2 linked regions of the Xenopus tropicalis genome follow. The protein of the gene in region 1 binds, or shares a complex with, the protein of each later gene. Links are inferred from orthologs where the notes say so. Each region holds a gene or a part of one and is shown in the gene's direction. Other genes may lie near its edges.

What was found. Proteins that work in one complex are often made in the same cells at the same time.
Region 2: tent4b (region 1) and zcchc7 share a complex: the UniProt entries of both Homo sapiens proteins name them as parts of the nucleolar TRAMP-like complex. The link is inferred for Xenopus tropicalis from reciprocal best matches to the Homo sapiens genes TENT4B and ZCCHC7.

The regions. Positions count from the first base shown.
Region 1 is NC_030680.2:43,944,746-43,948,971, reverse strand, and holds the start of tent4b (terminal nucleotidyltransferase 4B), read left to right. Parts: upstream 1-1,339; 5' UTR 1,340-1,931; coding exon 1,932-2,395; intron 2,396-4,226. UniProt on the Homo sapiens protein: Terminal nucleotidyltransferase that catalyzes preferentially the transfer of ATP and GTP on RNA 3' poly(A) tail creating a heterogeneous 3' poly(A) tail leading to mRNAs stabilization by protecting mRNAs from active deadenylation.
Region 2 is NC_030677.2:109,181,011-109,183,629, reverse strand, and holds the end of zcchc7 (zinc finger CCHC domain-containing protein 7), read left to right. Parts: intron 1-36; coding exon 37-458; 3' UTR 459-2,105; downstream 2,106-2,619.

The DNA.
Region 1 (4,226 bases):
ATTACAGTTTTTAAAGTTAACAAAAGAGCGGCTTTTTACTGCCTCTGGTAACCTGTGGGCATGACCTCTGAGGCAAGTTTCTCAGCTTGCCTCATTGCAGGAGCACCCCTGCATTTACAGCTGCTCCTATGTTAACTATAGCTCACAGTTAAATACTGTGTAGGTCAGGCAGGGCTGCCATCAGGGGGGCACAGGGGGGATAGTCATCCCGGGCCTGGGCGTTCTTTACTTTTAAAGGGGGCCCGGCTGTGCTACAGTTTTTTGACTAGCTCGGCCCCCTTTAATCTATTACGGGCCCTGTCATCAATACTTGAATCCGATTGGTCGCGTCCCGTGCGTACGTGTGACGTCAGTACACATGGGGCGCAACTTTATAAAAGGGCCTGTCTTCTTTCCCGTGGAGACACAAGTGAGAAGGAGTTGTTCGGGAAGTATCGCTGGAGCCGCCGCCAGAGGAGAAAGACCCTGGAGGAGGCACTGTCTAACGGGGGGCACTGTCTTTTGGGGGCATAGAGTTAGGGGGGGCCCTGTATATGGGGGCAATTGGGGGCCCTGTCTTTGGGGAGAATTGGCCAGCATAGAGTTAGGGGGGCCCTGTGTATGGGGGCGATTGGAGGCCCTGTCTTTGGGGGGAATTGGCCAGCATAGATTTAGGGGGGCCCTGTGTATGGGGGCAATTGGGGCCCCTGTCTTTGGGGGGCACACTGGCCAGCATTGTAAGGGCGGGCCCTGGGCACAAATGTATTGGGGGCACACTGATGGGAGGGGCCATTGTGGGAGTAGCCCTGAGGGAGGGGCCCCGTGATTTCTGATGGTGGCCCTGAGGTCAGGCCATGTATATAGCTACCACTTGTAAACACAGCTTGGTCCTTTGGACCCAACAATATTTGCACATAGTAAGACTGTACATTTATTGCAGCATGTTTCCCAAGTCAAGTACAATGGCAACCATTTATTTAGAGAAACAAAGATGCAAAGGAGAAATGTTAACATTATGAGAAAACAATGCCGATAAATATCTACATTCCAGCATTGGTTACAGTTTTACCGTAACATTTCAGCTCAGTTGCCGGTCTTTTTAGTCAGCAACTAAAAATCCACGGCATTGCATAGTACTATTTATACGGTGTATGCAATCCCGTTGTTCGGTTGGATATTGTTAACTATGAGTACAGTTAATGTGAAAAATGAAACAAACTTTATCCTTAGCCTATAAGTATCAGATCAAAGCCTAGAAGAATCTGATTACGGTTGCCTTTTCTTTTGCCCCGCCTGTTGGTTAAGCTTCTATGTGGGGCTTATTGATTAGGAGGCGGAACAATGTAGCGCTCAGCTACCTTTAGATTGGCCCGCCTTTTGTGGGTTGGGCCGAAATTGAAGATTGGAGCATGTGCAGTAAGTAGTTAGAGGGAAGAGCCGCCATTGTTGTGCCCGGTGTGACAGTGGCAGAGATCAGGCTTGGCATGGGGACTACCGTATGAAGACGGATCTTAAAGCCCACGACGCACGGTGAATGGGGAGATAGTATTAAAAGAGTACAGGTCTGGGGTAACCTGTAGTCGTAGGCATTAGTTGGAGAGGAGGGTGCTGTCTGAATGCGAAGCGGTTTCGAACAGTTTGGAGAAAAACGGTTGTGAGAGTGTACACCACGGCCTTTAATTGAGAGAAGTGCCCATAAAGGAGAACTTTGCGGTTAGGTAACCCTATAGGGGACCAGGAGGGGCGTGTTAAAGCAGGGCATTTGTACCAAGACCGGAAAGGCAGGAAGCCATCGGGTTGAAGTGTTTGGTGATTTTGGACTTTGCACAGAGTAGCTGTATTTCGGGAGTAGAAGGGACTCACGTTTGTTAGGGCTGGGGTAAGAGGCATTACAGAGAGGGTAACTGCCCCAGGGGTGGTAGTTTGGGGGGGGGGGGGGCAGGTTCCATTTGATGGATCCTCGGATCGCCTGGTTTCAGCCAGAGCAGCTAGGCCCCTCCAACAGCCTGTGGATGCAGATCTGGGAGACCACGCAAGGATTGAGGAACCTCTACTTTAACCATAATAGTCCGGCCTCCCCCACACATAGCGCATCTTCCAGCAGCTCCTCGATCTGTGAGACCAACACAATGTACAGGGACAGCGGAACAGCTCAGAACAACCAGTCCTTGGGGGAGCAAAGAGATTACATCCCAATAGAGACCACCAATAATAACAACAACCAACTGCTGAGCCAGAGCCCTGGGGCGTGGGGGAAAGGACATGACCATATAAACAGGAATAAGAGAAAACGGGATAACAAGGCAAGTACTTTCGGACTCAACTGCCTTCTCCAATGTTCAGCTGGGAGCAGTGTGGTGGGGCTGTACAACGGGACTCCATGGAAAACACGAACATATAGTGAAGAGGTCATAGGGTGAGTATCAAAATGTGTGCCCCTCTGTACATTTAATGTTGTTCTCAGACTTATACGGTTGTTTAATTTTGTACTTTTGGATTAGGGAAATGAAAAAGAGGAATTGTGTTACATAATCTGCCTTTAATGTTGGTTCTGATGCTAGTGACACAAACACATTGTGACCCTGAACAAATCATTTAAACTCCTGTCCTGGTATACATAGTGTATCTATCATAACTGCCTTGATCTCTGTAAAGGCACTAATTTCTCTTCTCTTCCACTTATCTCTAGCTTAGCCAACACTGCTACCTATAGGATACTAATGCTATCAGAGTAGTTAGTGTATAATCCAAACGAGATATTTAAATTATAGCAATGTCCTGTACAGGATGAACCTAAAGTGATATGTGTGTATATATAGCATACATATGTATGTTTACAGATAATAAACTTTCTATAGGTAGCCTCCCCTTGTGGTGGACACTGGTTATGCAAGTTGTGGCCTCTAAATATGGGGGAGGGCTTATCATAGAAAGCTTTTTAATGTCCATTAATGACATAACTGTTTAAGTGGAAATCTGCTGGCCATAGTCACTGTTGAAATAATGTTAAGTTTGAGTTATTTCAGTTGTTGTACTATTAATTTTTTATCTGTCGTGAAATAAAGGACATAATCGAATTAAACTTTTTAACCATGTAAAGCATACCTATTTTTGAAGAAAAAAAAGTTTTGTACGTACCCCTAGAATCCGTGTGATGCCAAACCTGGTGCTCTTGGCCGGTACTCCTGTTATTATTAAACTGCATTGGCCCAGGTACCTGCAAGCAAGTTTTGCCTCCATCTTCGTGGTCCTGGGGCCAATGTACGTGCAGTGGCGTGAAAAGGCTTTTTTTTTTTTTTTTTTAAGTTCTACTTTTCATTCTACTGCGCATGCACAAGCAGGGCAAAAGAAGAAGTATGTGGATTGCTTACTCACAGGTACTCTGGACCAGTGCAGAACACCAACCTGGGTTATCAGGTAAATGATTCTAATCACTGGGGCAGGCCTGGCAATTTGTGGGTTCTGGCAAATGCCAGAGGGGCTGCTGTAAGATGCCATAGACAGTCACTATTTAGTGAGCTGCTGGGTTGGCTGTATTGGCTTCTTTGCATTTTATATGCCACGGCCTACTTTGAATCCTGGCCTGAGCCTGCATGATGGGGGGGGGGGGGGGGGGGGAGTAGTGCCTAACATCCCCCAGCGATTGTACCTTTCCTTTTACTTTAATTTTTTTCAAAGACAGTAAAGCCTCTTTTAGCATAATACTGAACAAAATAACTTTTTTTTTTTAAGTTTTAATCCCATTCTTACTTGTCCGCTATACAGAGATTTTAAGTAAACAAAAGTTGTACAGGTCTCACACAAATTTATCAAAAAAGCAATATTTTTTTAATCTTTATTTTCCCATCAGCAAAAGGTATTAGTGAATCCAACTCAAACCGCTTGTGTTTCTTCTTGAGATCTATACTTTTAAAAATATCATTTGATACCTTTTGCTGATCTCCTGGGGGATTAACCATGGAGTGAATGGTGATCTCACCCTGCTGCTCGATCAGAAGAACTTTTCTATAGAGGAAGCTAAATGTGAGAGAGGATAGAATAAAATGGTATGCCCTATACTATTGGAAATTTGATATTTCCAGTTAAATAGGTTATAACTTTCCTTGTCCTTTAAAATTTCTAATATCTTAAATAATGGGCCTTTCCAAATTCATTTGATGTGTTTGCTATGAAGGTTATTTATTATCTAAACATTGGCGACTGATTCCATTTTATTCATCCTTTTTCAACCCATGTCTTTTAGCACA
Region 2 (2,619 bases), on another chromosome or scaffold:
ACATTTTGTATAAAGTCATACCCTTGCTTTCTACAGATCTCCAGGAAGCAGGCCTTCTGACATGGGAGATAGGGGAATACAACGAAAGCAAGGAAGATGCTAAGCCACCTGCCAAGAGAAGGAAAAAGAAACGTCCTAGTAAAAAAAAGAAGCAGGGTACCCTCATGGATGAAGAATGTGCAGAGACAAAGCAAACGAAGAAGCGTAAGAAAAAAAGATCTGGCCTTCAAGAAACAGAGGAGGATTTCCCCCGTGGACGCCCCAATGATTACTTAAAGTATAAAAAATCTTCAAAGAAGCATGATGGCAGCAACCTGTTCAAGGAAGACAAGAAAAATTTGCTTAAAAAAGGCTGGAGGAAGAAACATAAGGGCAAAAAGGGAGACAGTTGTGCTGTTGACCAGGACTTGCTCATAATTAAACAGAAGAAAAAGAATTCAAAGAAAAGGGTTGACTAGTCACAAAGCAGCACTGCATGAACAGATGTAATTGGATATTATAATACCTTCCATATACTGGAACCATAATCTGCAGGAACACAACATATTGTGGAGATCCCTGTTTCTCCAGATCTAAGTTAATATCACATATAACAAGCCTTTGAGCTGATAATTTAAAGAAACTATATAAATTTTTTATTAATGTATTTTATATATGGGTATGGATTCTTAATATTGTACTACGAGCAACCACCTTATAATAAGGGACTCAGTGTTTTACAGTGTATATGCTGCTTCTCTATTCATTCACAAATACACACATAACATACATTGTTTTACAACTCATTGTACGGGTTTGGTTTCAGTAGCAAGGAAGAATTTCTTTTCTTTTCTTGCCAAACTTCACCTAATCACAGTTTTGCTTTAGATGTGCTTATAAGGTGGTTTCAGTAGAGTGGCAAATACGGCTAAGCTGCTGAAAACTGTACAGTATCTGTACATTCAAATACATCCGGTTCTGATAGGAACATTTTTCAGTGTGTATCAGTGAGCTCTTTTGAAGGATCAATTCATCTGTCCCTTTAAAAGAGAATGGTATAATTGGGAAACATTTATATGGTCCCAGGAAAATTTGTTCAGTATTTTTATATACCGTATGTACTGTAACCTTATGTACTTTAGAACGTTTAAAACAAATACTTATTTTAGCAGTTAGATTTAGGGATACAAGTGCCAAGGGGGCCAAGTTCTGTGTATTCCTATATTCTTAGATTCATCATGACCTGTTTCTTTACATACTATGCTTTAGAAAGGTGCAGATAGTTGTTGGTTTTGCATACATTTACCTAGGTCTAGCTTTTTGAGGTTAAAAATCATCTTTGGTTCTTAAAGGGAAATTTAAAGAATAAGTAAATGAACTTAAAAGAATACGTAAGCCTTTTTTTAATCTCTAAAATTGCTCTGAATAGTGCCCTGAATAACATCTTTTCTCCCTGCATTCAGTTTCATGTCATTTCTAAATTACAAGTTGAAAATTGCAGCTCATTTCAGCTACTTCCTGGTCTACAATGAAGCTCTGCCCCCTTTTCTTTTCTGAGCTCTCCTTGTCTCTTTGAGCATGATGGTTAGATAGGTGCCTACTGTGCGTGCCTGATTGCTTTTTATTGAAGCAGAGGCAGCAAGCATGCACGGCAGACACCGTTTTGACTGTTTACAGTCAGACAGAGCAGGAAAGCTCAGAGAAGCAAAGGGGCGGAGCTTCACAATAGACTAGGAAGTAGCTAAGAGAGCTGAAGTTGAGCTGTTAGTGATACAAAATCTGCTGGGAGAAAAGGTATGTTCTTCTGGGAGCTTTTGTGAGTATTTTGGGGGATTTTAAAGTCAAAAGGCTTGCGTAACCTTTAAGTACACCCCAAATAAGTATGCAGATTTTTTATTGGTTTTCTGTGTTGTTTTCATCCTGCAGATACTTGTCTTCAAAACACCTCCTTACATTGTTTGTGCCATTGAAATAATACAAATTGTATTGCAGATGTTAAACATTTGAGTCTTGAGGAGATTATTAGTCCCTAACACTTAAAATGGCCACACATTATATTTCATGTTGATATTAAAGCAATGCAATTAATTGTATCTCAAGAAATAAATAAAATCTTCCATGTGCAACTCTTTAGAAAGTTTGTGTAAAGTGAGCAAGGTGGATTGTCCAGTCACTTACTGAATAAAGAATCACTGTACAGGTATGGGACTTGGGGTTTTCCTGATAACTGGTTATTCAGTCATTTGGATCTTCATACCTTGTCTAATCATATAAACATTAATTGAACCCAGTAGGATTATTTTACCTCCAATAAGAATTAATTATATATTAGTTGGGATTAAGTATACAATGGAGTCTATGGGAGATGGCCTTCCTATAATTCATAACTTTCTGGATAATGGGTTTCCAGATCCCATACTAGTACTAAGTTCTAAAGGTTATTTATTCATAATCTAGATCAGTGCTGTCCAACTGAATTAATTAAAGGGTTTTTCTGTTAAATGAATGCCATATAAAGTGTTTAATACAGCCCTTAGCTGGAGTTTTTTGGGTTCAAGTCCAGCCCACAGTCCACTTGGACAGATATGTTCTAGATCAGTGCTGTAGTATCAAGGGCCAGAATTTTTGTGGCCTACATAG